Oryctolagus cuniculus: one gene and its partners. The protein of the gene in region 2 purifies or fractionates together with the protein of the main gene of each other region. This does not show direct contact. Links are inferred from orthologs where the notes say so. Each region holds a gene or a part of one and is shown on either strand. Other genes may lie near its edges. The genes, in order: CTNNB1, FHL2, EYA3, TNKS1BP1 and CNOT1.

What was found.
Region 1: the proteins of FHL2 (region 2) and CTNNB1 purify together in Homo sapiens (affinity purification with western blotting; 3 studies listed by BioGRID, with this or other methods). This does not show direct contact. The link is inferred for Oryctolagus cuniculus from reciprocal best matches to the Homo sapiens genes FHL2 and CTNNB1.
Region 3: the proteins of FHL2 (region 2) and EYA3 purify together in Homo sapiens (affinity purification with mass spectrometry; 3 studies listed by BioGRID and IntAct, with this or other methods). This does not show direct contact. The link is inferred for Oryctolagus cuniculus from reciprocal best matches to the Homo sapiens genes FHL2 and EYA3.
Region 4: the proteins of FHL2 (region 2) and TNKS1BP1 purify together in Homo sapiens (affinity purification with mass spectrometry; 3 studies listed by BioGRID and IntAct, with this or other methods). This does not show direct contact. The link is inferred for Oryctolagus cuniculus from reciprocal best matches to the Homo sapiens genes FHL2 and TNKS1BP1.
Region 5: the proteins of FHL2 (region 2) and CNOT1 purify together in Homo sapiens (affinity purification with mass spectrometry; 3 studies listed by BioGRID and IntAct, with this or other methods). This does not show direct contact. The link is inferred for Oryctolagus cuniculus from reciprocal best matches to the Homo sapiens genes FHL2 and CNOT1.

What each region holds. Positions count from the first base shown.
Region 1 is NC_091441.1:106,507,243-106,513,455, forward strand, and holds the start of CTNNB1 (catenin beta-1), read right to left. Parts: upstream 4,008-6,213; 5' UTR 3,751-4,007; intron 3,288-3,750; exon of another isoform or gene 3,153-3,287; intron 1-3,152. UniProt on the Homo sapiens protein: Key downstream component of the canonical Wnt signaling pathway.
Region 2 is NC_091433.1:103,233,325-103,238,823, forward strand, and holds part of FHL2 (four and a half LIM domains protein 2), read left to right. Parts: intron 1-2,636; coding exon 2,637-2,811; intron 2,812-5,499. UniProt on the Homo sapiens protein: May function as a molecular transmitter linking various signaling pathways to transcriptional regulation. Negatively regulates the transcriptional repressor E4F1 and may function in cell growth.
Region 3 is NC_091438.1:143,663,789-143,669,217, forward strand, and holds part of EYA3 (eyes absent homolog 3), read left to right. Parts: intron 1-1,584; coding exon 1,585-1,685; intron 1,686-3,691; coding exon of another isoform or gene 3,692-3,769; exon of another isoform or gene 3,770-3,848; intron 3,849-4,277; coding exon 4,278-4,358; 3' UTR 4,359-5,429. UniProt on the Homo sapiens protein: Tyrosine phosphatase that specifically dephosphorylates 'Tyr-142' of histone H2AX (H2AXY142ph). 'Tyr-142' phosphorylation of histone H2AX plays a central role in DNA repair and acts as a mark that distinguishes between apoptotic and repair responses to genotoxic stress.
Region 4 is NC_091432.1:14,793,256-14,799,341, reverse strand, and holds the start of TNKS1BP1 (182 kDa tankyrase-1-binding protein), read right to left. Parts: upstream 3,825-6,086; 5' UTR 3,714-3,824; intron 1,211-3,713; exon of another isoform or gene 1,074-1,210; intron 785-1,073; exon of another isoform or gene 782-784; 5' UTR 767-781; coding exon 673-766; intron 1-672. Other genes in the region: FACT complex subunit SSRP1, read right to left, coding at 5,226-5,297, 5,551-5,737.
Region 5 is NC_091449.1:41,893,275-41,899,420, forward strand, and holds the start of CNOT1 (CCR4-NOT transcription complex subunit 1), read right to left. Parts: upstream 3,535-6,146; 5' UTR 3,418-3,534; intron 3,034-3,417; exon of another isoform or gene 2,865-3,033; intron 1-2,864.

The DNA of each region.
Region 1 (6,213 bases), on a different chromosome or scaffold from region 2:
AACATAAAAAATAAATCACAAGAATAATGCTATATCCACTGGAGGGCACTCAATATGACCAAAGCATGAAAACACACTCATTTTGCTGCTTCAGGTTTGAAGGAGACTTAGGGAATGAGGGATGTCTCCTAAGAGACATGCCCACAATTAACAAGCTCAAAAAAGTGTTTAAGCCCTAAAAATGGGTCCTTAATTCAACTGACTGTTCTCTTTTAAAAGCTTCTTTTTCCTTAAGGAGGAAAGAGATTATGTGCATACTTCAAGAACAGCAGGATTCAGTCCTCAACAGAGGAAACTAGGTTTCAGAGTGAGTCAATTCAGTCCTACCTGAAACATTAAAGAGACTTTAAGTAAACAGGAAATAAAGAACTTTCTCCTGAGGTTAAGTAGTGAAAAACTACAGGGGTTAATTCCAACTTTTCCAAACCACGAAAAGTAACATTTTCCTTTTTGCAAAACTTGTCAAGTATGTATTTTAACCTGTTAGCCTAGTTATCCATCACACAAATGAACAAAACAGTACACCAACAACAGTCTGTTAAAACAAGGGTAACTAAGGCCCCCACCATCTGCAGTGCCTGCATCCCATATGCCCGCTGCTTTGAGCCACTTCCGATCCAGCTCTCTGCTATGGCCTGGGAAAGCAGAAGACGGCCCAAGACCTTGGTGGCCCCTGCACCCACGGGGGAGACCTGGAAGAAACTCTTGGCCCCTGGCTTCTGATGGGCCCAGCTCCGGCCTTTGTGGCCATCTGGGGAGTGAACCAGCGGATCGAAGACGGATCTCTCTGCCTCCGTCTCTCTGTACCTTTGCCTTTCAAAATAAAATACATCTAAAAAAAAAAAAAAAAAAAGTGGGAGGACTTGATTCTGCCAAGATATCTTCTCCATGAAGCTGCAACAGGCAATAGCTACATGCTTTGAATAAATCAGAAAAAGATTCTGGTCTATGTTTACTATTTACTTTCCTGGTATAAAAACGTTTTCAGTCAAGCTGTTTCAACAATAGATACCATAGTTCCAATAAATAGAGGCCTACAAGAAAACAACCAAGTTAATACAAGCAATGTTTTCAAAAACAATCACAAACCAGCATGTACCACTACAATACCCCCCATTGGTTACAATACCCCCCCCCCTTTAACATCAGAAGTCTATCCAGATATAAAAGCTTTCATCCTTCTTGCCCTGGCTTAGCAGTCAAGCATGTCTCTGACCCCATTCAGAGTATAAACTTTTTACCACCTACTCATCTACAATTATTATCACCAACTAGTAGACTATGACAGGGAAACAAAATCACCTTATAACAAATGTATTGTTTCATTTGAACAGACTTAAACAGCCAGTTCTAATTTCACTACCTTTAACCATAAATGAATGATAATCAAACTCTCTATACCCCTAGTTTTAACAGTAACAACATGCTCCTTCTCTCTGCCTCTCCTAACTGGAACAAAAATGCTACCTGCAGTTTTTCTATGTACCATATTTTCAATCACCCTTAGAAAAATTTCCTCCTCTCGATCTTTTTCCATTTTGGCAGTGGGGTTACAAAAACAAGCATACAGGCCTTCATTTGTGACAATTTCAATGCCAGCCATTACTAGGTCAATTCAGTTTGATAAATTTTAATAATGGAATATATTTTTATACTTAATCTTGAAAGACATCAGATGCCAATGGGTTTTTTAAAAAAGTTTTGACACTTGAACACTACTAAATGCTTTATTTTTTTTTTCCTAGCCTTTTTTTTAAGTTGGTTTTTCCTAAAAGCTGTTTTAAATGATTGCTTTGGTCTATGGGAGGCTCTCAGGCCTAGGACGCCACAGGACTCTAAGCTACAGGCAATACTAAGCTTTCTAGGGCAGTTTTTCAATTCCTTCTCAAGGACTTCAGACTGAATGGTCTCCGCATTCCCTTAATCCTGGAGAACAGACTTCTGCAAGTTTTTCAAGTTACTGTTGTGATCACTTCAGGGCCTTGTCTTTGTGCTTGGCCTTCAGAACAAAGATTAGGTCAAAGTAATGAATACTGGGTGCAAATTAATCACATTTTGTCTTGTGTGAAAGGACAACCTCCAATAAACCATAAGGGAATTTTCTTCTTCTACCTGAGATTTTTGAGAATTTAAAAGTAAAATGAAAGTAGCTTTAATCCAAACAAAACACCTCCAAAATAGTCAGTGATTCCAACAAACAGTAAACAGCAGCATAATGTAGGTAACACTCCGGGCTCGATGTAATATTTACTAGAATGAAGACAAGTTAACAGGAAGCCAACGAAGGGTACTGACGGTTCACCAAGTGGCAAGTAAATAATGGAATGGCTTTCTAAATTCCAGACAAAATACTTTACAACTTAGCGATCTGAAAAACATCGGCCTAGACGTCATCAAAGGAAACGCAGCCGTCTCTTCAAGTTGCTGTCTAGTCTGAGCCACCATTATTCACGATACAAAGCTCTCAGTTCACTAAAACCACTCCTCGATTTCCTTTCGCCGACCTCTGCATACCAGCAGCCCAGTCTCCCTTCATTCACCGCGCACAAACTCGGGGGGAGGGGAGACCACAGATGTCTGGAAGACACAAAGTAGGAGACAATGCCCCCTCCAGCAAGGAAACGACTACACCCCGCGCCCCAGCTCGGCAGATCCAGAAGCCGGCGACGGGAACCGAACTTCCTTGAGAGTCGGGTTCAAAGTCCTCTCCCCGCACAAAACACCGAAAAGAAGTTACAATGCTTGGATTCTCGTCTGTCCCATTTCGTGGGGGAGGAAAAAAAAATTCGCTCCGCTGAAAAGAAAACGTGCTCTAAAAAGGGGAGAGGGGAATCAACTTCAGCTGCCACACAACTATTGGAATAAATTATTCCCACGATCGAGAAGTCTCCAGGCAGCCGGAGGCTGGAGCCTGCGGGCCGCTCGGGGACCAAGAGCCGGTCCCCGTCGTCCCCTCCCCTACGGTCCTGGGGTCTCAAGCCCCACGGCCACAAACCCAGAGCGCTCCACGCCGCCCCCACTCGCCTGCACGCACGAGAAAACCTCGGTGCACGACGCACACTTCACAGGTGCACACCCTACTGACGCATCGCGCCGGCTGCACGAAGAGTTTAGTTACTCTGAGGCTTAAAGTTGTTTCGATTCGAACTCACATAGGCAGGGTTGTTAACAATATATCCTTAGTCGTCTGTTAGACGCAGAGAGGAAACCCGCCAACTCCACCGGCTCCCATTCCCCGCCGCAGAACAGCACCTGGGGGTGGCGTCCCGGCCTCCGGCGTCCCGAACCCCCAAACTCGCCGCCGGGCTGCGAAGGCGGAGCCCCCCGGCCGCACCCCGCCCCCCACCCCGGCGCATCCCGAGGCGCAGGGTCCCTCCCCCAAACTCGGCCGCCGCCGGAGCCCGGGACGGAAACCGCCGCCTCCCACCCCCACCCCGCCGCCGGTCATCCGGGCTCCTGGACGCGCCCCCGCGGCGCCCCCTCCCCGCCCGCGGCGCCCCCCGGGGCCCCCCGAGGGGCAGCGCGGCCGGAACCTGGGCCCGGCCGCCGCCCTCCGCGCCCTGGACGCCGCCCGCCCCCGCCGTCGCCGGCCCGCGTCCCCGGCTCCCCACCCCGGCCCTCCGGGCTGCGCCGGGCCCGGCTGCCCGCCCGCCCGCCCGCCGCCGGGACCGCGCGCCCGGGACGAAGTTTGGCTCCGAAGAGGGAGCGGGAGCAGCCCAGGAAGGGTAAGGGAAGGGAGCGTCCAAGCACCTCAGGGGAACAGGCTCCACCCGCCGCGGGCGTCCGACCGTCCTCGGCCTGCGGTGGCGGCTCGGCGGGGACCGCAGCTGCTCCTCGCACCTTCCTCCGTCTCCGCCTCCCCCTCGCTCTCAGCTCCCGGGGCCGGGCTAACGCGGCTGCCACAGACCGAGAGGCTTAAAATGGCGCCGCACAAGGAGCTCTTATAAGTCGCGCTGGCCCGCTGTATCCTGCCGCCGCCGGCGCAGCGCGGAGCGTTCCGCCGCGCGAGGACGAGGGGCGGGGCGCGGGCGGCCGCCGAAAGTAGTCCCCGCGCCGCCCGCCGCCGCCGCCGCCGCCGTCCGACCGCCCCGGGGCGGGGCGGGGTGGCCCGCGCGCGCGCCCGCCCGCCTGCGCGTGCCCGCGCGCCCCTCGGACGCTCCCAGCGTGGCCCGCCGGCGGCTCCCTGGCCGCCAGAGACAGCAGGGGAGCGGAGGGGGCGCCGTGGTCCGCAGCCGGGCGGCCGGCCCACCCCCACTCTGGCCGATGTGGGAGGAGGGCAGCTCCGTCCCGAGCTGGACGCGCGCTTCCTGTCCCCCCGCGGGGGAAGGGGCCATCGCGCGCCCCGGGCCTCAGGAGCCGCGTGGGGCCGCGTGGGACGGGTCTCGAGAGGGCTGAAGTCGGGGGCCCCGCCGCGGGTCGGGGCGCTCACTCCCCCGGAGGTCCCTGCGGTCCGGAGGGTGGGCGCGGCGTCCCCCACCGGACTCCGGGCCGAGCCGTCCCGTCCCCACTCGGTGGCCGCACTGGGTGAAGTGGGCGCCGAAGCCCCGCGTGGTTCAACAAGTCGTCCCGAGTCCCCCCACTGCGAACAGATGACGAGTGGAGGAGGACTGGCTCCCGCGCGCTATCGGTTAGGTCTTTGCTATTTAGTAGCTGACCTTCGTCTGGTCCCACTCGGAGCAGCAGCGGAGCCACTGGTGGGGCTTTTCCTTTGGGAAGAACTGCGTTTCCACCCTCCTGCTGCTCCAGACATCCACGGAGGTTGTTTCTAGGAGGAGCTGTGGAGGAGGCAGCCTGGACCATGTTTTTAAAAACTAATTTGTTCTTCTTCAGCAGCGTCCCCTGGTTCTCAACTTCAAGGAAGTTGGGAGTGCACCCGCCTTGCCCCCGTCTCCATTGTCATCCTGCAAGAGTGGCATCTGTCAAAGCCGGTCCACTCTCTCTCCTCCATTGTTTTATGCTTATTTTTCCTCCAAAAACAATGGAGAAAGTACAGAAGGCAACAGTGAAAGTTACCTCGGGGGCTTTTCTCCTAGGACTGTAATTAATGCCTATGCAAACAATAGGTCTTTATACAGAAGTACAGGCAGGAAACCTTTTTCATCACCTCATGGAGATAGCATGCTTTGGAGCCAACCTGCTCTCTAAATGACACTTATTTTTCGGTCCTAAAGATGTTTTACTGTATACAGCGGTACCGCTGTCTCTCGCCACAGCTCGCGGGAGCCCCTGCAGTGGAAAAAGTCCACCCGCTAAGATGATGCTTGGTGAGGTCCATTGTCTCCAATGGTTTTCTCATCTGTATCTTTGCAGCAATTGTATAGAATCAAGTGTGCGTGTTGGTCGCAGTTAATTTCCCTGGTCGCAACTCAAAACAGATCGAACGGAAAAAGGTATTTCATCAAAGTACTGTTTCTAAGACAAAGTCAGAGGTATAAATGGCGTGTACAGGTATCCACACCCCCCCCCCCCGTTTTAATTGTCATGTACAGAGTCAAGGAATATTTCAGTTGATTTGATTCAAATTATACATTTAAAATCAGATGACTGATTCTCCACAATTAGTATTTTTTAAAAATAGAGCTTTGCATCTTCTGTGTTCAGTGTGTTTTTGCTAATAAGGCACACTGTTGAAACCTGTTAAGACATATCTGCACCAGTAGAAAATCTAAAGAGTAAGAACACTTTCTATCTGTATTTCTCTGTTCAGGTGCCAAAATAATCTAAGAATTTTTTCTGTAAGTTTAGAATCAAGTTTTTTTTTAGCCCTAGTGATACTTAAATACACAGGTTATTCAAAGAAATGTAAGATTTGCAACAATGCAGCATGCTGTTTTCTCCATCACATGTAAGTATACTTAAGAATTACTGGCATTAAAACAGATTATTTGGATTTAACAAATTGCTCAGAATTTTTATTTGCTTCTCATAAAACAACAGTTGTCTCGTCAAAAATACGAAATAACGTCTATGAAATCAAGACAAATACTATTATCAAACCAAAGGGAAAGAGCATGAAAATACCTAATGACTTGGTGAAATAAGTAATTCTGTGAAAATAATTACAAGAACTTGACTTTGAGCAATACATTTCTTTAAAAAAAATCTCAGGGTTATCTTTTTTTTTTTTTTTCCACCTTTTCCTTCAAGAGCCAGTCCAATGAGTTTGACATAAATTAAATCATTCTGTGAAATGGCACCAAACAAATGGTTCTA
Region 2 (5,499 bases):
TAATGCTGTCTGCAACTTCTGAGGAGTTGCCATACTGTTTGCTATACCAAATTTATTTTGTAAATCTATGTATTCCACAATTAGCATTTCAACCCTGAGAGCATGCTTGCAAACTCCAGACCCTTCTTGGATTGGGCTGATTCCTGTCCTTGGTGCACAGGGATTTTAAAACTCCCTTTATTCAAAGGCCAAAGGCAATGCCAAATTGAATTCACCTGAGTACAGAATACGTAATTAAAAATTGAGAGAGTTCGGTTGTTTCTGGATTTTCTTCAGTAGATTCACGCAGCTCTCATCATGGGTACATATTTTGAAAGCAAAGACAGACAGACCCTCCTAGGGTTTCCTCTGGTTTGGCTCCATGGAAGGAGCTTTTGAATCAGAACACTTGGCCTTGAAGCCTAGCCCTGCTGTTTGTCTGCTGTGTGACCTTGGGCAGGTTGTCTGACTTCTCTGCACCATGTACAGCTTCGTAGTGCCTGTAACTCACAACGTGGTAATAATGACCATCACAGGTGTCTCTGCAAAGTTGGGATGTTTTCATGGTGAGTGTGGAGGCCACCCCATTCCTGAATGGTAGGGGTCGACAGTGTGCAAATGATGGGCTTTGCTATCTAAAATAAGTTCATGGAGCCAGTTGTAGCGCAGTGGGTTAAGCTGCCACTTGGGGTGCCATCGCCAGCACCCCATATCAGAGTGCCAGTTCTGAGTCCCAGATGCTGTGCTTTGGCTGCAGATCTCTGCTGATACACCCGAGGAGGCAGCAGAAGATGGTCCATGTGTCCCCAGATGGCTGCAATGGCCCAGGGTGGGCCAGTCCTAAGCCAGGAGCCAGGAGCTTCTTCCAGGTCTCGCATATGGGTGCAGGGGCCCAAGTACTAGTGCCATCATCTGCTGCTTTTCCCAAACACATTAGCGGGGAGCTGGATCAGAAGTGGAGAAGCCGGGACTCAAACCAGAGCCCATGTGGATTGCTGGCATTGCAGGTGGTGGCTTAACCTGCTGTGCCACTATGCCGGCACCTCTCCCCATATTTCTGAAAAACACTTTTAAAATGCAAAATGAGACTGGTTCTATGCACCTTCCCCCTTTGCCCTGGTGTACAGACCCCTGAGTTTGGGTCCACAAAGGCTAGCGAGGGCCCCAGCATTGCAACAAACCACCCTAACAGGCCCTGTGGTGAGGCAGCTTCCATCTCGGACACCCCACTGATGTGTAGAGTGCTGGTCTCACAGAAACAAGGCTGCGTGGTCCCACTGGAAGAAATGCCTTGTGCTCCTCGCTCCTTCCTGCGTCTGCCTCATCTTCTTGCCTTAGCTCTGGTTCTGACCCCAGATGTTCCAGAGATGGCAGGAGAGAGGACGGGGCTCAGCACAAAGCCGTTACCGCGAGGTGGTGGAGGTGACTATTTTCGGAGTATTCCATCACTCACGTTTTTAATAATTCCTTGGACTAAAACGTGCAGAGAGAGCGAGGTCATCGAATCAAATAACTTGGGGTCGTTTTGGGCTCTGGGAAAGCAGGTGCGTGCACATGCATGCACGCACACACATACAGCGCGGTATTTCAGCGAGAGAGAACTGCTTGTTCTCCTTCAGGTTCCGACGTTAGCTGGTGTCTTGGGACTTCCTGATGGAGTGCATCCTACACTCGGGGCGTGGGTTGCAGCCACAGAGGCAGATCGGTGGGCCGCCATCTGCGTGCACCTCCCACGTGGCACTCAGGGTCCCTGTGATCTGGAACCTGGCCCAGAAACCTGCAGCGTCCCCCACACGCTGTCTGTGCCTCGTTAGAAACAGAGCGTGGGCCCGGGTCACAGCTGGGAATACACAGACAGCACTAGAAGTATCCTCTTCTGGAAGCCACGCTGCCTACAACGAGGCTGCTATTTTGGTTTGGGTTGGCACTTTCAAAATGTCCTTTTTAAACAGGCAGATAAAGAAGAGATCTCGGGCGAGGGCAAGGGTGTCATGCTGTTGCACGGTTTTCTCTCCCGGGCGCATTCCGGTTTCAGCCATGACTGATACACCTGGCCTGCCTACTCGCTGCCCGCAGCCGGGCCCAACAGGAACCCTCACTGCCCCCACCCCACTACCCCTTAGCATCTGCCTTGCACTGCCGCTCCGGCTCTGCCCCAGGCCCCGCCCTGCCGCCCCCAAGTCCTCCGCATCTGCTGGCGGCACCTGCCTAAGACGCCTCCCCAGAGCCCCCTCGCCGGCTCGCCTGGGCCCTGTGCTTGGGGCTCCTCTCGGAGCGTGCCCCACACGTGGGCTTCTCTGTCTCCACTGAGCTGCCTCCATCGAAGATCTAGCTCTCCCTGCTGCGTGTGGAGCACGAAGCACCCAAGGCCCGTGCTCGGCTTCCGCGTTTCTTTCTTACAGGCAGGACCTAAGGAAAAGCTCGTTTTCAAAATCACCTCCCTTTGACCCATGGTCCTTACACACACAGCAGGAGCCCAGCAGCCCGGCATCGGTCATCCCAGCCTCGCTTCCCCTTGTTGCTTTGCCTTGTGGGTGTCTTGAGTACGCATGTGCGCACATGCGCACTCCCCTGCGGTGGCCTGACTGCGCGTTTGCGCGCATGCGCACTCCCATGCTGCCCTCGGCACTGACCGTCTCGTGTGTCTGGCTCCGCAGGACTTGTCCTACAAGGACCGGCACTGGCACGAGGCCTGCTTCCACTGCTCGCAGTGCAGGAGCTCGCTGGTGGATAAGCCCTTCGCAGCCAAGGAGGAGCAGCTGCTCTGCACGGACTGCTATTCCAACGAGTACTCGTCCAAGTGCCAGGAATGCAAGAGGACCATCATGCCAGGTCAGGACACGCGGCCGTCTCGCGCGCGGTGGGGGCGGGGGGGGCCGCGGTGCTGAGCCGGTCCAGCCCCAGGCCTTGCTGTGACCCGCCGTTGGCGTCCACTTGTTGCACACACTCGGGTTTGACTTCCCCTTGAACTCAGAGAAGTGCTCAGAGCACCACACTGATTTTTCAAATGCATAAGATCCATGAACGTGATAATGAGATGCGGAACAAGAACCAGACGCTGGGGGTTTTCAGTTCGTAGCTTCGGTAGGTTGAATATTCATTTCTTCTCTTGTTGATGTGAAAGGCAGAGTTATATAGGGAGAGGGAGAGACGGAAAAGAGAGAGCTCCTCCATCCCCTGCTTCACTCCCCGAATTGACCGAGACAGCCAAGGCTGGGCCTGGCCAAAGCCAGGAGCTCAGAGCTCCACCAAAGTCTCCTGCGTGAGTGGCAGAGGTCCACCTGCTTGGGCCATCTCCAGCTTTCCCGGACGCATTAGCAGGAACTGGATCAGGAGCAGAGTTAGCCGGGACTGGAACCTGCGCCCGGTAGGGGGTACCCGCCTTGCAAGGCGGGTCGCTGGATTCCTGTTGGCGTGTGAAGAGAAGCAAGGCCCAGGAGAAGCTGACACTCAGTCGCTGGCTCCCCCATGGAAGACCTCTGTGTGAGTCTCTTTAAACCCAAATGCCAAGCAATGGAGTCTGTGCTCCATTTGAGGGATTGCTTGCTTTTTTGCCAGTGAAGAGTTCTCAGTGAGCAGCTGGCATATGGAAAGTATTTTAGGAAGATAGATTGAACAAGAAGTAATTTTTTTTAAAGTCAAGGGGATAATTGTAGGCCTCTGGTAGCCTGGTTTCTTATTGCCACGACTAATACAACTTCAAAATAATTGCGACATACAGGGTACTTCAAAAACTTCTTGGAAAGTGAAATTAAAACACAGGTCTGGGCCTGGTGTTATGGCATAGGGGCTAAGCCTCTGCCCGCAGCACTGGCATCCTATATGCTGGCTCGTGTCCCGGCTGTTCCTTTTCCAATCCAGCTCTCTGCTATGGTCTGGGAAAGCAGTAGAAGATGGCCCAAGTTAGGTCTGTTTGGGTGCAACAATGTTTTTGAAATGCATGCATGCGTAACTTTTCATAATCGTCCTTTCCATGAATTTTTCCAAGATCTCTTGTGCCCTAACAAAAGCGTGAACCACTGCCCTGCTGGGAGCTGTGGGGAGGGCACAGCTGAGGGGCCACGTGGAGACCTCAGAAGGTGGAAACTCCCGTAGGAACTCGGCCTGCGTGCCCTGGACAGTGGGAGTAAGAGCTGGAGCCCCCAGGAAACCAGGCTGAGCTGTGGCCCAGCAGAGACACAGCTGTCCTGTACTGTTCACTGAGAAACAAATGAAATCTCCTCTAGCCTTGTTGACTAGAGCCAAGGAAGCCTCCGAGCAAACTTCTTTAACTCCTCTGTCCTGTGCCCTGTTCGCAATCCCTGCACTGCGGAGAAGGCGCAGGGCCTCCCGCAGCACGGTGGAGCAGGCTCCCTCCAGCCTGGCCACCCTTGGTCCGCGTTCTTGCACGTTCTTGCCCTTTTTCTTGTTTGCTCCTTAGCTCCACTCACGCTCTGCCCTCTCCCGAGTCAGCCCTGCTGGCCCCTGCACCGCTCCAGTCCTCCTGTCCTCCACTGCCCCACTTGGAAGACCAGGTCCTCCTAGGGTTCTTCCTGAGTGGGGAGGTGGGGAGGCTGCAGGCGGAGGCCCCTAACCATGCGGGTGTGTGGTGGGGAGGTGCAGTTGAAGACCTGGCATCTGTAGACGCCATGCCTGAGTCCTTCTGCGCAGATGAGACCATTCTGAGAGGCCGTATTTGTGCACTTGGCCACAGTGCAGCCTGGAGCACCCCCATTGGAAGCGCCTTTCACAAGAATGCATGGAAGCATTCGTAATTTAAGCTTAAATGACCTTCAAGTTCACCTGCTGCTCATCTTACCAGTGAAGAAACCAGAGTGGCAGTGTCCTGCCCCTAACTGCAGTCAGTGGCTGAGCAAGGTTAAAGTCCTGTCGGGAACGCACGCTTTCCTCCACCTGGGAGTGGGGCTTCCTCCATAGGGGTTTGCTGGCAGGTACACGGGGTGCACCTTGTCTGAGATCTTCACTCCAGTGAGACAGCTTGGTGCCGTCCACATGTGTTGGACACGAAGCCAGGAGGCCCGGTTATCCTTGTTTTTGTCACCAGAGCCAGTGATCAGAGCTGTTGGGGCCCTGACCTCCCCATGGGAAAGAGGAGGGGTCCAGAGCCTCCACAGCACTGTGCCCCCCACCTCTGTGTGAGTCTCTGTAAACCCAAATGCTGTTCCCCCAACTTGGTCTACATCCTTGATGGGAAGGCGGGAGCCGTGGGAGACTGGAGCTGCTTTGGTTTGGCTTTTCCCACTGGAGGGTCTGTCCTGGCCCCCACGCCTCAGTTCTCCTGCCCTGAACTTTGAGGGATGAGGCAGTTTCTAACTAGGATGCTAGTTTCTAACCCTCCCTGGTTGTGGCGCCGACTTCCCCGGTCGTAGGCCCCCCAGTGACTTCATCCCCCTTTGTGTCAAAGTGGGAGAAGATCATCCTGAGTATCAGACTTTTCCTGACACTGATTCTTGGAGAGAATTCTGACATCTCAGACCAGGGGCTGTTCAAGACACGAAACCTTAGCGCCAACCACGTCGT
Region 3 (5,429 bases), on a different chromosome or scaffold from region 2:
GCAGTGGATTTAAATCATGCACCCCCCCAAGGTCACTTATAGTGATACAGGATCTCCGCTGGAGCTGCATGGGGTAGTAAATGAGGAAACTCCAGATGGGAGCGACGATGCTGCCACATTGATGAGTCAGTCACTTTTCTCAGTCCTGCTCAGGCTCCTCCCCTACTGAAGAACATAAGACCCATGTCCAAGACTGTTTCTGGAAAATGAAGAATTGGAGGGAAATGGCTGTATGTCTGCTACTTACTTCTAACAAGAAATCATGGCCTTATGCTTCCACTCTCCTGTCCTGCCTTAAAACATTTCTCCTCAGAAATCACTCATTTGTCATGGCCCAGTGGCCAGAATTTGGGTTTGGAATTGGATGGCATGTCTAATGCTAACTAATAGCTTGTGTGTGACCTGAGGCACGTCACTAGACCTGTGAGTCACCTGTGAGACAGAGAATGGTTCCTGCCTCACTGAATTATTGTGAGAATAAATGAAGGAATAAGTGGAAAGTGTTTTATAAACTATAAAGTACAGAAGATGTGGAAGAGGAGGTGGTACTCACAGCTGTCTCACACCCCATGTCCCTTAGTCTCCCAGTTGTAGAAATTTCCTTGATATGAGGGCTAAAATAAGTTACCGTTGTAATGGCCCAGTGTCACATTCTTTTGGGCAGTGGGCCTGCTGAGTCTCTGTTCACTACCTTTGCTCCCAACCAAGCAAACTACGTGGGCTGCCACGTGGTCTGTCCGAGTACAGGCGGGTGAACCTGACTGTTGCAGCCTTTGTCTTTTAAGTTTTTTGTTTTAATTTTTAGTTAGCTTTTAGCAGATTCAATGTACATGTAGATATAATGCTAAGAACATAATGATAGTCCCTTCCTCCTTCTCTCCTTCTCACTTTCTTTCTGCATTTCTTTTTTTGTTTTGTTTTGAGATAACATTTTTAAATTACATTATAGTAAAGACTTAATACTTGATAAATTTAACAAGTGAAAAGCAAAGAGACCCTAGTTTAATGAGAATATAGACAACAAACAATAATTGAATGGAGAAATGGCCATTTCGCCCGTATACACTAAATTTTAAAGTAAACACGGATCATTAAAACTGTAGTAATATGGGCTGGCGCCGCGGCTCAATAAGCTAATCCTCCACCTAGCGGCGCCGGCACACTGGGTTCTAGTCCTGGTCAGGGCGCCGGATTCTTTCCCAGTTGCCCCTCTTCCAGGCCAGCTCTCTGCTGTGGCCAGGGAGTGCAGTGGAGGATGGCCCAGGTGCTTGGGCCCTGCACCCCATGGGAGACCAGGAGAAGCACCTGGCTCCTGCCATCGGATCAGCGTGGTGTGCCGGCCGCAGCGCGCCAGCCATGGCAGCCATTAGAGGGTGAACCAACGGCAAAAAGGAAGACCTTTCTCTCTGTCTCTCTCTCTCACTATCCACTCTGCCTGTCAAAAATAAATAAATAAATTAAATTAAATAAAAAAACTGTAGTAATATAACATTTTTGACCACTGGTTTGACAGTTTGCAGCCTTTTTCTTTTGTATGGAAAAAAGGGAAGAATATTCTCATAGGAAATTTCTTTTTCTCATCAGGTAAGGAGAGCTGCTTTGAGAGAATTGTGTCAAGGTTTGGAAAGAAAGTCACGTATGTGGTGATTGGGGATGGACGCGATGAAGAAATTGCAGCCAAGCAGGTAACCGGCAAAGCGGATAAGCCAGAGGTTGGGCATTGAGCAGTCAGAAAAGAGGTTCAGACTTCAGAATCCGGATATGCTGCTGTGCAGCTACAGTGCTGTGCTGTAAAGAGGAGAGTGGTTCTCTCCCCAGATGAAATTCTCTGTATAAGCTGACAGACCACCTCATCCCTGCCAGTCAAAAATCTTAAAATCTTTGAAGCCTGTTGCAAGGAGCCTCATCATTAAACCTGTTTTCACTGTAGATGGCAGTGCCTTTCTCAAGAATATCAGCCTTGACCACAAAAAGCACAACTCATTCTGACTTTTCTAGGCTCAGATTCTAAGAAGAAAGAAAGAAAAAATATATATACAGTACGGTTGGGACTGAATTGCTATAAAGAATGTCCTTTCCAATTTTGAGCCCTGAACAGTGGTTCTGATATTAACGCCATAGCTATACATGTCCTGACACCAGGTCATCCCTTCTCACTACAGGGAACAGTAGGTGAAAGAGTTTTGGCTGTAGAATCTACAAAGGCAGGTTCGGTTCCCATGTGTTTATAAGCTGTGCAACTTTGTACAGTTCACTTGTTTTCTCTGAGTTTCCTCATTTACTAAATGGATCTACAGAAGTTCTTTCCTTCCCTACCTCAGTTTATTTTCTTCCAGCAGCTCTGTTTCTTAGATTTGTATTCAGTGGGTTACCAACTAGAACCACCTGCCTTGAGTTTCTTCCCCCAGGTAACATAGAAACCTTAGCAACTGGGGACGGTGTTGTGGGGTAGCAGGCGAAGCAGCATCCCATGTGAGCACAGGTTCTTATCCTGGCTGCTCCACTTCCGATCCAGCTCCCTGCTAATGTGCCTGGGGAAGCAGCGGAAGATGACCCAAGTGCTTGGATCCCTGCCACCTATATGGGAGACCTGGTTAAGTTCCAGGCTCCTGGCTTCAGCCTGGCCCAGCCCTGGCCATAGGGGCCATTTAGGGAGTGAACCAGTGGGTGGAAGATCCCATTGTCACTCCCTCTCCACTGTAACTGCATCTCAAGAAAATAAATAAATTTTAAAAAGAAAAAAGGGCTGGCGCTGTGGCGTAGAGGGTAAAGCCACTGCCTGTGGCACCAGCATCCCATATGGGTGCCAACTCAAGTCCCTGCTGCTTCACTTCTGATCCAGCTCCCTGTTAATGTTTCTGGGAAAGCAGTGAAAAATGGCCCAAGTACTTGGGCCCCTGCACCTGTGTGGGAGACTCGGAGGAAGCTCCTGGCTCCTGGCTTTGGACCATTGTGGCCATTTGGGGAGTGAACCAGCAGATGGAAAACTTCTCTCTGTAACTCTGCCTTTAAATTAGATAAGTAAATCTTAAAAAAAAAAAAAGAAGAAGAAGAAGAAGAAACAAACTAATGATGAATCATGTGATTTGTGATCAGTTGGTGTTAGCACCTCGTGATGGTTTCATTTGTCACTGTATGTAGCAGTTCAAAGACATTTGCTTTTTTCACATATCTCGTCACAGAAGCTTTCATTACAGAGTTTCTTGTTGCTCTCTTTGGGAAAGACCCAAGTGTCAGCTTAGTGCTTCCCTGTCTGAAGAAGGGAGTGGGGAAGAGAAAGAACCATTTGAGTCATTAGCAAAGTTGGTGTAGTTACCGTGCTGCTTGTAATCACCTACTGAAGACTAACCCCCTGGCAGACGCTGTAATGCTTTGTCTGATCCGACTTCCACCATGGGAGGGATCTTTTCTGAAGACTTGCTGGTCCTTCTTTGAATAAACCCAGGTGTGCCCAGGTAGCCTATTCCACTGTGGAGTCCAGCCTTCCACTGAATAAAACGTTATCTCTAAGTAAGTCTAGCACACCTGAGCATAACAAAACAAGTTTGCTTCCTCTTCTGTATATTAATGGCCTTTTAAATATCTAGTGTGAGCGATAGGTGCTTGATGTAACTGTTAAGTCACCTCTTGGGATGCCCACATCACACATCAGAATGCCTGGTTTGAGTCCTGGCTCTGCTTCCCATTCCAGTTTCCTGCTAATGTGCACCATGGGAGGCAGCAAGTCATCACTTGTGTCCCAGCAGCCCACATGGGAGACCTAAATTGAGTTCCAGGCTTCTGGCACCAGCCTGACCCAACCCTAAGTGTTTTGGGCGTTTGGGGAATAAAGCAGAAGATGGAAGATCTCTCTATGTCTCTTTCTTTCTGTCCTTCAAATAAACATTTTTTTAAGTTGGTGGAGAATGAGATTAAAAGATAAGTTTACTTTGGTGTGGATAATCTTGAAATCCATGCATAGTTTTTTCATGATACACATTTTTCATGAGCTTTGTGTAGCTAGAATAGTGTACATATATTAATATAATAATATAATAGTATATCTAGAATAGTAGCTAGAATAGATATATCTCTTACAGTAAAAGCAGAGTTTACCACTGAACCCATTTCACACGTGTGAAGTGTCCTATAACATGCAAAGTTACTCTGATCCTTATGACTGCTCCGAGGTGGGGAAGGTTACCAAGTACCCTGGGAAGAGGTCTGTGGAGGGTTGGGTACGGGTGGATAAAAACCGCGAAAGCAGCTGGGCTGACCGTTCACCTTCCGTTCTCCAGCACAACATGCCTTTCTGGAGGATCACGAACCACGGAGACCTGGTGTCCCTGCACCAGGCCCTGGAGCTGGATTTTCTCTAAGAACTGGAATGAGGAGCCTTTCTGGTGAGCTCCTTTCCACTCCTGAGGGCAGCCAGAGACTGGAACCAGCTGGGGACTCTCTGTCTTTGCTCCATGGAATGCTGGCGAGAACACAATCAGAACAACAGCTGCAGATTTGGCCGAGAGTCAGCCCCAGCCCGTGTTCATCCTCATGCAGAAGCGGAGACAGCTGGATAGAGAGAACAATAGGCTCGTTGCAGCTACTGTGCTTTTAATTCTTCTCTTTTGTTTTGTTTCAAAAAAAAAAAAAAAAAAGAATGGAAATTCCTGGAGCAGAGGTGCGCTCTTAGTGGTGGTCAGACTGAGAACTGCTGTGACCCTGTGGTGAGAGGATAACGCAGCAGACTTCTGGGACATCTCTTGCAGTCTTTAGAATCTCCTTAGCCGTAGAACTTACTTCCAGTGAATGTGTATGTTATTTTTATAGGTGAGGGTCTCTGAAGCAGGTGTCCCCCTTTCTTTTTCTAGCAAGAAAGGGTCATTTAAAGTTTCCTTGAAAATAGTCATTGAAATGTCTAAATACCTCTGTGTGACGGTAGCCCCCCCGTAGCTGCTCCCAGGGGTCTGCTTCTCTCCCGTTCTTCCATTTCTTACTTGGCCGAACTGTGGGGTGCTGGACACTGATGAACTTTGGACTTGGCATTTCCCATCCTTTTAAAAGTCTTAGTCCTTTTTCCAGTCCTTCTTCCCCTTTAATCAAGTGACACAAACCAAGAAACTGCTTCTTTCAGACGGTAAATTCTAAGCCTTCAGCTTGACTCTTAATTCAGAGACTACATGCCAGCAGGCTAATCCTCCCACCTGGAGAAAAAGGATTGAGGCTTCTTAGGAACTTCAGCCTCTTTGGCTCTCAAGACAGGAAGACGCCATCCGATCCTCCAGCACAGAAGCAGCTTTTCCCGTCCACTGCCGACCTTGCGGCCCCCTCTGCTTGTCCATCAGCTGCTGGGCCTAAGCCTTCGCTGCTGTCTCCATTCAGCTCTGACCAGTCCACACACATTGGTCCCAAGAAGTCAAATCAAGTCTAAGAATAGGCTGGATAAGAATTGG
Region 4 (6,086 bases), on a different chromosome or scaffold from region 2:
CCACTGTCTTCCCATGGAGCCCTCTCCCCGCTGCATCCCCCACAGTAAACTCACCCCAACTCTGTTTCTTCATCCTGCCTTCCAGCTACCCCCGCCTCCAGCACACACCCAGGCCACCTCCCCACTGTCATCCGGTGTGTGACCAAGGAATGCAAACTTACTATTGACCTAAGCCAAACAAAAGTAAATCTGCTACAGCGGGGGAAAAAAACTCAAAACCAAGACCAGAAATCTTCCTTCTATATAAGGCATTCCAATGCCAGATAAACAGCATCGCAATCACTCCGGGTCACAGCCCTTCTAGTGGAACCCTCGATCACCCGCTCAGCTGGCTAAGAGTCTAGAGACATGGAGGCAGGAGCCTGGGTGGGTGCACTCCAGGCCTCCCTCTGGGTCTCAGGGGTCCCCTCTCCCGGCCGCAGCCCCTGCCCCCACCTGCAAAACACACAGCTGGACCCACATCACCCCCATGGGTCCTGTCTGCCCTTAGAGGTGCTAGAGCCGGGCCGAGGGCCTTCCCACCCTATCCCGCACTTCCTAGTACTGCGGCCCTGCCTCGCAGCTACCTCAACACACTTCAACTCAGCTACCCCCCAGGATGGAATGGGGGTGCAGCCTGCGCCCTTCCCACCCTGCTCTCAGCCACCGGCTCCACCCTGCACCCATGGGTACCTGGCTCGGAGCCAGCGGGCAGCAGCTCCTCCTCCGGCTCCCGGGGCGGTGGGGAAGCCATGGCTGTGCTTTCCCTGAGAGTAGACACTTTCATCACATGCGGCAGATCCTGCTTGAGAAATAGGAAGCAGAGCGCGTGAGCGGCGCTGGCTGGAGGCTCGGGAAGAGACAGCGGGAGAGAGCTGGGTGTGGGCAGCGGGCTTAGCCCAGGGGTCTCCTACTTCCACAGAGGCGGAGTGTGGGACAGGAAGAGGGAACTTCAGGAGGGGGCTGGGGAGGTCAGGCCAGGTCCCCAGCAGGCGTGTCCTCAACTCTTCCCACATCCTCTCCAGCTCTGCTCTCCTAACCCCAAAGTCCTGGAGCTTTAGGGACTACCAGCTCCCCGAGACACCCCCACTTACAGCTCCCAGGGAGGCCCCCCTGCTTGGGCCAGGAGCCCCTTGTAAGGAATCTACTGCAGACAGAGCAAGAAGAGTGCAGTCTGAAGCCTCTCCGTGAATCACCTCCAGGGAGACGGGAAAAACCCGCTCCTCCCCAACCTGGGGCTCCGCCCCTCGGCATGCCTCCCCCTTCCCGCTCTCCCTGCCTCCCTCCCTCCAGCAGCTGGGAGTGGTTCCCTCTCCCCCCTCTCTCCCCATTCTCCTTCCACATCCCTGCCCGGCTCTCCCCCCACCCCTCCTTGGAGCTGTCTCATCCAAACACGGAAAAATAAGGAATAAAAAAAGTAAACATCTGGAACACATTTTTTTTTCTTTAATTTCTCAATCGCTTTGGCTTCAGCTTGGAATTTGATGAGGTAAAGCCAGGGCCTAGTCCTGTTGCCATAGCAATGGCCTCCCACTGGATTTCCAGAGCCTCGCCAAGAGGAAGGAGGAGCCGGCCCAGGCCTGGGCTGGGAGAACGGGACAGGGCTTGAGAACATCCGGGGGGGGGGGGGGGGGGGGGTGCTGGGGGAAAACTCCCTGGGGTTTCCCCTTCCAGGACTGTCAGGGTGGGACAGCCAGAGCCTGTGGGAAGGGGGTAGGTGGGCAGTCCCCATAGGCTAGGACCGGCCTGAAGGGGTTCTGAGGGGGGCATCAGCAGGCCAATCAAGTGACGCGGCCCCATGGTAAAGCCACACAGGTGAGCCTCCACGTGCGATATCTCAGGACTCCAATCTGGGTGGGTCAGGTGGGTCTGCCACTTCCTTAGCTGGGCAACTTCTCCAGACCTCAACTTCCTGGTCTGAGAAGTGGGGTTACAGAGGCTATCCGGAGGCTTCGGGGAGATGATGCCTGGAAGCTGCTTCACACAATGCTCAGCACATTAGTGTCCAATAAACGCTGGCCAGTATTCCTGGGATTCCGTTCAGGGCCACCAATGAGCTAACATCCCTGGCAACCACCTCCTCCTCTCCCCCCAAGGCCAGGCTGCCTGCATTCCAAGGCCATTCTTTCACTCTCCAGGCCCCAGTCCTGTCACCTGGGTTGCACACACCTCCTCAGTTCCCATCCCGGCTCCGGAGGCACCCTCCCACCCACAAGACACCCCCCACCCCACACCAGGCTCTCCAGCCTGCCACTCTGGTTCCAAAGAAAGGGGGATGTCACCTATCACCTGCCAGGTACAGAGCGGGCGAGGGCCACACAAGGCTCTCCAACATGCACCTGGCACCACCTTCCTTACCTGCTCCAGGTAGTCCAGAAAAACAGCACCAATTCCCCAAAAACAGGTGCCTAACCTTTGCAAACCTGTCCCCTTCACCCTCCCACCCCCGACTCTGCCGCGGCCCCAGCTGGTTGCAAAGACACAAGAGAGTGCAAAGACAGCAGAGATACTCAACCCGTTGGTCAGGCAACCAGCACGGAGGCCTGCCCACTGTGGGCGAGTAACTGCAGCGCCAAGCCAAGTGTGCAGTGCGCGCACGGGGAGGGGGTGAGCACATGATAGAAAAAATAAATTAAAAAACACAAGACTGCTTCCTTGTCCTTGAACGTCATTAAAAGGGACAGGGTGTGAGTGGGTGGAAACGCAGAGGAACCGGCCCAGAACCGAAAAGCGCTTTCACCTGGGGTCCCTGATGAGCCCCTCGGCAGGATGAGAGGCTGTGGCCATGAAGGTGGGCTCAGAGCCCCACCCCCCCACCCCATTAGGGAGGTGGCCGCAGCAACTCAGAGGCCCCGGCCAGGAGCCCCAGTGACCAAGGCGGTGGCCAGATGCGGCAGCAGCTCGCAGCACTTCCAGCCCGCAGGAGTTCGCGGGAGACAGGCGATCGCCAGCAAGGCTGGGAAGGGGCCAGGCGGCTCCGGGCTCGCGTAGGGGGGCGCAGGCCGGGGCGTCCCTGTGGACCCTAGAACCTCCTCCAGGCGGGTCCGGGGCCAGAGAGGTCGGCAGGGACAGCGTGCAAACTGCAGGAAGAGGGAGGGCCAGCGGGAAGACAGAACAGCCCGGGGCAAGGGGCTGTCTGGAGGGGCCCGGTGGGGAGCTCCGGACACAGAGCGGACGGCGGCCGCCGAGGAGGAGGAGGAGGAGGAGGAGGAGGAGGAGGAGGAGGGTGGAGGAGGAGGGTGGAGGAGGAGGGGGCGACGCCGGCAGCAGCGGTGGACCTGCGCGCGGGACGAGAAGCAGCAGGCGAGCAGACGGTGGCCCGGCTACGTGGGGGCGGACTGGGGTGGCTGGGGGCGTGCCGAGGGAGCCGGAGGAGGGGACGGCGCGGGCCCGGGGGACGGGGAGGCGGGGGTCCCTCCAGCCGCTCCGCCCGCCCCCAGCCCCGCCCCAAGCCCTCGCCCCCTCCCCCCTTTCTTCTGGCTCCGCCAGCACGAGCTCCAGACCTGCGCCCCCCACGCCCGCGCACACGCGCCAGCGCCCCCTCCCCCCCGCCCCAGCGCCCCCAGCCCCTGCAAACTTTCCTAGTCACGATCCCCCCCCACACCCACCACCACCACCACCGCAACCCGAGGTCCTGGTTGGAACGCGCCCACTCCTCCCATGCCCCTTCCCCGCCCCACCGCGGACCCCGCCTCCTCCTTGGCCCTCCCGCCCGCCGGGCCCCGCGCACTCACGCGCTCTCCCGGGATCCGGCTCCGCTCAGCCGGCGCCCCGACGCCAGTCCCCGCCGCCACTGCCGCCGCCGCCGCCGCTGCCGCCGTCACCGCGGGACCGAGCCAGTGCGAGCCCCGGCGGGGGCCCCGCCCCCAGCTCCGCCCACGACCACGCCCCCAGCTCGCCTTGTGAATATTCATGAGCCGGTGGAACCCGCGAGTGGGAAGCCCAGGCCGAGCCCGTCCCGCCGTATGCAAACAGACGCGGCCCGCTACTCAATTATTCATGATCTTGCAAATGAGGGGCCCGCCCCGGGGCTCAGATTCGGGCGAAACTGACGCAATTCAGCGGCTGGGAGCGCTTGGGTAAAATGGCCACCGAGACGATCGCCTAGAGAGGAGGCAGCCTTGGCACTGCCCCCTCCTCGGGCCGGGCCGCTCTTAGGGACTGCAGCACCATAGAGCCACGTCGGGCAAGAGGGTAGCGTTGGCGGACTGGGTTGGCTTCCTGTTCCCAGCCACCTGAGTCCTGAGGCCGTTCGCGACGTGGCTGCTGGACGTGTGTCCACTCAGCTGGGCGGCTCTGCTTCCCTGGGTCACTCCCATTATCTGTCTCAGCCCTAAGTTCCTTCCAACCCTAACGTGTGGTTCTGTCTCCTCCCGCACCTCAGAACAAAAGCTTCACACACAAACACCCTGCACACCTTTCCTGCAGCCCTACACAGACACACACACACACACACACACACGCCCTCGTTCTGCTCCGCCAGCTCCGGTTTCCACTCCCCCGCCCGCCCGGGAGGACAGTCAATCCTGATTGTGTTAGCCCAAGCTTTCCAAGACCCCTTGACTCATAAGGTGATTTAAGCAAGGAGCAGAGGGCCGCCTCCCCCTTGGCCTGGCTGATGGAGTGGAGCTGTGAGGGAGGCTTACTAATCAGATCAGCTCCCATTTCTAGACTCTCAGGTGGCCCATCCCGGCAGAGGGGGTGAAAACCAATGCTGGTGCAGCCGGACCTGGGAGACCTGCTTCCCGGCTGCCCGGGAGCGCCCTGCCCAGGAACAGTGGGCCGAGCGGGAGCAGCGCAAGAGGGCTAGAAAGAAGGCACGAGGAGGACACGTGTTCCAAAGTCAGTTCCCTTTATTAAATGTTGATTTTCACAGACCAGAAATACAAAATGAAGGTAGAAATAGGCCCCACCGAGGAGTTTCAGGCCTGATTTCACACGACTCCTGCTGCGGCAACTTGAAGGAGAAATAGCGGTGGCTGTATCCCGAAGGTGGGGAACGCAGGACAGGGATCTGGGTCCTGTGCCCCGCCTCCCACCCAATCTCTCCCCAGATTGTAAGGCGCCATCCCGTGAAGCGGCAGAAGCGAGACAACTCCCCATCCCAGGGAAGTGCGCACCACCGGGAGAGCGTGTCCCGGGGGCACAGACTCTGAGGACCACGCGTCATGTGAGCAGAAACTGGGCCCAAAACCCGGTGGGGAGCCTGGGGCTGTGACGGGGCAAGCGGATTCTCTTCCTCCTCTTTACTCATCGGATCCTGACGCCGAGTCCTCTGAGCTGGGCGGGGTACTGGCTGGCTCCTCTTCCTCTGAGTCCTGAAAGCCAGAGAGGCCTCTTAGGGGAAAGGCACAGCACACCAGACACCTGGCCACACTTCAGTGCGGGGCCTCTGGTCCCCATGCCAGGCAGCGCTAGCACCCACCTTCACCAGCCTCAGAACCCCTCCCATTCACTGCCAGTTCCTCCCTCTCACAGACCCACCACAACCCCTGAGCCGGGAACACCCCGCACCCGAGACTCACGCCCCAAACCCTTCCCCGCCCAACTGCGCCCGCTGTCTCGCTGCACCTCGCTCCGCCGCCTCTTCTTTTTGCTCTTGTTCTCGCCTGAAGAGCTCTCGTCACTCGACACAAACTCCTTGCTTTTGAAGCTCTCGCTCAGCGGCCGGGATGACGTCTTGGACGACGAGCCCCTGGAGGGTGTGGATTTCTTTTCCATCTTTGCCTTCACTTTCTTCTTCTTCTTGGACTTGTCTCTGCATCGGGAGAGGTAAAAGGGAGCTGCGCCTGCAGGATCCCCCTGTCATGGGTGAGGCCAGACCTCTCCCAGCTTACATCAGGTCGTGCCCAGTCCCAGCCACACTGCCCCGTTCACTCTCAAGGTGAACAGCTGCCCCATGCTGCCCAGGGTGCCCCCAGGGCATTCCCTGAGTGAATACACCAGAAGAACCAAAAGCCATAGCCCAAGGCAGCCCCACAGGCCAAACTCATTTGCATTTCTTGCTTTATCTTTGAAAATTCAGGTGATTTTTCTCACCCTTCTCCATAATTATTTTAACTTCCCTGTATCTTCAAATGAAATTGACCCTCCAGGGAAAAGGGCCA
Region 5 (6,146 bases), on a different chromosome or scaffold from region 2:
CAATGCCAGCACCCCTTACTGGAGCAACAGTCCCCACTTCCGACCCAACTGCCTAATGTACTTGGGAAAGCCAGAGGATGACGGCCCAAGTGCTTGGGGCCCTGCCACCTAAGTTGGAGACCCAGATGGAATTTGGGGTTCCTGACTTCAAAATGGTCCACCTCCAGACATTAAGGCCATTTGGAGAGGGAACCAGTAAATGGGAGATCCTCAATCTCTCTGTCACCCTGCCTTCCAAATATATAAACCTTAAAAAAAAAAAAAAAAAAGCGCTTGTCATAACTAGATCAGAATCTAATAAAAAACATACTTAGAAAAAGTACAGGCCGGCGCCACGGCTCACTAGGCTAATCCTCCGCCTTGCGGCACCAGCACACCAGGTTCTAGTCCTGGTTGGGGCGCCGGATTCTGTCCCGGTTGCCCCCCTTCCAAGCCAGCTCTCTGCTGTGGCCAGGGAGTGCAGTGGAGGATGGCCCAGGTCCTTGGGCCCTGCACCCCATGGGAGACCAGGATAAGTACCTGGCTCCCAGCTTCGGATAAGCACGGTGCTCTGGCCGCAGCACGCCGGCCGCAGCGGCCATTGGGAGGTGAACCAACAGAAAAGGAAGACCTTTCTCTCTGTCTCTCTCACTGTCCACTCTGCCTGTCCAAAAATTAAAAAATAAAATAAAGTACATGCAAGGATAATTTGAGATTAGGCTCTAAACCATATATTTTTTTTTTTTTTTGACAGGCAGAGTGGACAGTGAGAGAGAGAGAGAGACAGAAAGATCTTCCTTTGCCGTTGGTTCACCCTCCAATGGCCGCCGCGGCCAGCGCGCTGCGACCGGCGCACCGCGCTGATCCGAAGCCGGGAGCCAGGTACTTATACTGGTGTCCCATGGGGTGCAGGGCCCAAGCACCTGGGCCATCCTCCACTGCACTCCCTGGCCACAGCAAGAGAGCTGGCCTGGAAGAGGGGCAACCGGGACAGAATCCGGCGCACCGACCGGGACTAGAACCCGGTGTGCCGGCGCCGCTAGGCGGAGGATTAGCCTAGTGAGCCGCGGCGCGGGCCTAAACCATATTCTTAAAGAGCTGGCATTTCCTTTTCTGTCCTCAGTTTTTTAATGTTTTAACCTAATATAAGGGGGATATCACAGTACTCTGCTTCGACAAGAACCATGCCAGAGACCAGGCTTAAGCCCCACTAAATATTCAAAAGAGATTTTAAAAAGAAAACTAAGCCAAGGTTCCCATCAAGTGAGGAAGGAAGCAAGGAGAGCATTTCAGTTCTGTTTAACCATAACGCCACAAAACCCTGCACTAAAACTTTGGTATGAAAGTCGTTTCAGTTACCAGTGGTCAGGTCTGGTTGCCTTGACTCTAGCTAAAGGACTCGGGACACACACTTGTTGAAGGGTCCAGTTCTATCCACATGCGGCACAGCCAGCTTTTATGTATCATCATCCCCATTTTCTCCTTAGACAAGGTAACAATTTCCAGTGTCCTAAAACACAATTATTTAAACTGTTACCATATACCCCAGTAATAACTAAAATACTGTGCTGCCAACCTTTGGAAGGGTAAGAATGCCAACCAGGAACACAGATCATAAGTAAATCCCAGTGTACCGCTGCAAAAAATAAATTTGGTCTGCCTCTGTTTGACCTACTTCCTGGTGTTTTACTCACCCATTCCCGTTTTGTTTTTTTAATCCATGTAGCTCTCTATTCCTTTCCAAAGAGCTGTCATGAGGGAAATACTCAAAATTGTTGACAGCATTTTTATCATTCACTTAAAAAAAAATCCACAAGTAGCCACAGGCAATAGAATAGAGCAACAGCAAAATTAAGTACTCAGTTTTCAAGGAAAAGACTTTTTTACTGCAGTCCCAAGAAATGTGACGTGGGGTCGGGTGACTTGAGGCGAGAAGTTTACTTCTCATACACTTTAAACGCAACGCTTTCCAAAGCTCACAGCCAACAAGCACTTTCTTCGCTAACCTACTACACAGTGCACTCCCGGCGGTTCTGCAGACGAGAGTGATACGGGGAAGGGGTGTTTGGGTTTGGCCTCAAGTAACACCCAGAACCCGGGCAGCTCGTCTCTCGGCAGCCGCGAGGCCTCCAAGCGCTCGGCTCACCAGGGCGACCCCCGCCCGGGCGAGCAGAACCGCCGCTGAGGCAGACACCGGCCCGAGCGGGTGGGCGGCCGGCCCCGCAGCAACCGTAAGCGCCGCGGCGCGCGAGTGGAACAAAAACCTGTGGCGAGAATGAGGAAGTGCTCGCTCCCGCCCGCCCCTCCCACCGGCAGACACCCGAAACACGGGGGGTTTGACAACGTGCTGGGGGCGGAGGAGGGGGCAGCGCGGCAGCCCCGGCGCCCTGGAGCCACCCGGGAGCCCTAACAACTCGGAATCCGGCTGCCTGGCCCGAGGAGCTAGGCCTCGGGGACCGAAGCTCGCTGCACCCTGCCGGGAGCCCGAACAGAAAAGGAGCAGTTGAGGAGCTCGCGGAGTTTGAGGAGGGTGCAGCCCGCGCGAAGCCAGGCCCAGGGGCCCCAGCTGCCACCCACTGCGCCGCCAGGCCCCGGCCGGGGGCCACCCCGGGTCTCACCCCGCACCGAACCTGTGCGCTTCCAAAAGCCTTCGCGCCAACGCCTTCTCCTCGGCGCCCGGAGCCTCCGCGGGCCGTGGGGAAAGAGTCCGTCCTCTCCCGCCTCGCCCCACTTCCCTGTCCCGGCTGCCTCTTACTCCCCGGAGCTCCGGGAAACGCTCCCTGTAGCCCCAGGTCCACCCCCGTTCCCTTCTCCCCACCCCGGCACTCGCGCTCCCAGGCTGACACCGCCAGCCTACTCCAGCCTCTGACCCCAGCCCGCCTCACCTCAGGCGGTTCCGGTGGCGCTGGACACAGGAAACTCCTGGGTCCCCGACTCCGGCTCTCCTCGACCCCCTCTTCGGTTAACTCCGCTTGTTTCTCTACAAAATGGCGCCGGAGGTCGCGCGCTCACGTCGCGGCCTTTCCCCTCCCCGTTCCCATTTCATCATTCGCTGCCCGCCCGAGGAGGGAGGGCCCCCGCATCAGCCAATGACCTCAGCCCGCTCGCCGTTCCCGACCAATCACCGTCAGGGACCCGCGGATTCAAACCAATCACAAACTATCACTTGCAGAAGTCAAGGAAGAAACCAGGCTCCTGCTAGCAACTACCAATCAAGACCCTTACTTCGCGGTCTTTGGCCAATTGCCGCTCACCAGCCCCGAGGGACCCGAGTCGGAGCCCTCGCGCCTGCGCTCCAGGCGAGGGCCAATGGGGAGAGGCTGATAACTTCGATTCGGGGCTTCCCGGACTTCCCACCTGCCCTCGAAGTCTTCAACCAATGGGGGCCAGCGATTGCCTCCGAGAAACAAAAAATCAGGGGGAAGCATAACTCCTCACCACCCTGCGCGGGAACTAGTTCGAATCGGAGTGCGACGGCCTTCCTCAACTTTCCTTCTTCACTTTCCTTCCTCTTTCGAAATGTCACGGTCCAGCACACTGTGGGGATGCCCAGTGGAAACATTCCCCTCCCCTCGGGTCCTTTTGGAGGGGAACGCCAGCAGGCAGAAAGCGAGCCAGGTTGGGACGCTTTGAATCCTGGGAGTTGTAGTCCCGCGCCTCACGCCTTTGCGGTCGCAAAAGTATGCGTTGCCTCCCGTCACCTGCGGCGCTGTAGGAAGAGCAGTGCATGCAGGGGAATGTAGTCTCCCACGCTCCCCCCCAGCCTTATCTTGCTTGGCTTTCCTTAAGGGAACTTTCACTTCTAGTCTACCTATGGGAGAAGTGACTCCTTTGGAAAGAGATAAGGAACTCAAGTTGTCTTTCTGGCTGAAGCCCTGGAAGCGCTGTGGAAACGATATTTCCTGTCTCATACTACCTTTTGTGCCTAAACACACTTCGTAAAACTTGTGGCAAAAGTACATAAACTTACTATCTTAACCGTTTTTAAAGCCTGTGGTTTTAAAAAAAAAAAAAAGATTTTTATTTATTTATTTGAATGGCAGAGTTACAGAAAGGCAGAGGCAGAAAGAGAGAGAGTCTTCCAACTGCTGGTTCACTCCCCAAATGGCCGGAACTAGGCCAACCTGGAGCCAGGAACCAGGAGCCAGGCCCGGTCTCCCATGTGGGTGCAGGGGCCCCAGGAATTGGGCCATCTTCTACTGCTTTCCCAGGCCATAGCAGAGAGCTGTATCAGAAGTGGAGCTGGACCGGAAATTGAACCAGCACCCATATGGGATGCTTACATGGCAGGCAGTGGCTTTACCCACTATGCCACAGCGCCAGCCCTTATCTTAACCATTTTTAAATCTGCAGCATACTATAGTGTTTCCCATATTCATAGGTTGTATTACAGACTCTAGAACTTTTCTTTTTATAATGTGTTTATCTTTTAAAAGACTTATTTATTTATTTGAAAGTCAGAGTTACACAGAGAGAGGAGAGGCAGAGAGAAGTCTTTCATCCACTGGTTCACTCCCCCGGATGGCTGCAACAGCTGGAGCTGCACCGATCTGAAGCCAGGAGCCAGGAGCTTCCTCCAGGTCTCCCACGTGGGTGCAGGGGCCCTAGGACTTGGACCATCTTCTACTGCTTTCCCAGCCCATAGCAGAGAGCTGGATGGGAAGTGGAGCAGCCAGGACTCAAACCAGCACCCATATGGGATTCTGGCGCTGTAGGCAGGGGCTTTACCGGCTACACCACAGCACTGGCCCCTAATGTATTCATTTATAAGAGACACAGAGAGATATTCCATCTACTGGTTCACTCTGCAGGCAGATGTCAGAAGCTGGGAACTCAATCCAGTTCTCTTGCATAAGTAGCAAGAAATCAATTACTTGACCTATCACTGATCCCTCCCAGGGTGTGTATTAGCAGGAAGCAGAAATCATAAACTGGGAGGAGAAGTGAACCTGGGACTTGAAACCAGGCATGCCAACATGGGATGTGGGCAACCCAAACAGCATCCTAACTGCTGTGCCAAAGGCCTTCCTAACTAGAACATTCCATTTTGCAAAAGGACTCCCCAGTTACAACTCTTCCCACCCCTAGCAAACACCATTTTCCTTTCTGTTTTTAAGGGTTTCATTACTTTAATATCTCATATAAGTTGAATTGTACAGTATTTGTGTTTTTCTGGTGGTCTGATTTCACTTCACATAAAAATATTATGCGACACCTGCTTTTCCTTGGTTGGAGGCCAAGTCTTTCAGTAAACAGGTACTGTATGCCTTATGCCTTCAAGCAGCTATATGAGATCCAGGAATCCCACATGCAGCATGGACAAGGATCATTCCAGTTGTACATAACTATTCCTTGCACCTAGTCCTCAGTACCTGGCACAAGGTAGGCATGTGCTGAAAAAGTATGAAATAGGCCGGCACCGCAGCTCACTAGGCTAATCCTCCGCCTGTGGCACCGGCACACCGGGTTCTAGTCCCGGTTGGGGTGCCGGATTCTGTCCCGGTTGCCCCTCTTCCAGGCCAGCTCTCTGCTGTGGCCCAGGAGTGCAGTGGAGGATGGCCCAAGTGCTTGGGCCCTGCACCCCATGGGAGACCAGGAGAGGCACCTTGCTCCTGGCTTTGGATCAGCGCTGTGCACTGGCAGCAGCGTGCCAGCCACGGCAACCATTGGAGGGTGAACCAATGGCAAAGGAAGACCTTTCTCTCTGTCTTTCTCTCTCACTGTCCACTCTGCCTGTCAAAAAAAAAAAAAAAAAAAAAAACTGAAAAAGTATGAAATGAAGAAATGGATCTAAAACATTGCATCAAAAGACAAAATTACAACAAATTCAGCTGAAAGCTCTTGACTGACTTTTATTTATGATTCTACAATCAGGCAAGTCCTCATTCCATTGAACAGAATGAATGTTTCAATGAACTGAGCAGAGGATGTTGGCTTTATATATCGAGAAGGCTGAGGAAAGCAGAGAAAGAGAACAGAAAACCAACTGGTTTCAAAGTTATTTTCAATGTAAGGGAGAACTCACTCATGCGAACCAAAATGCTTATTTGTGATATATCCATTATTGTTCTCTCTCCTGATTTCTCAGAAGGTCAGATAAACGACTTCCTGTCAACTTGGTGACTTGGAACTTCAGGATGACTGACTCCATTGTGGTTGGGCCAGTT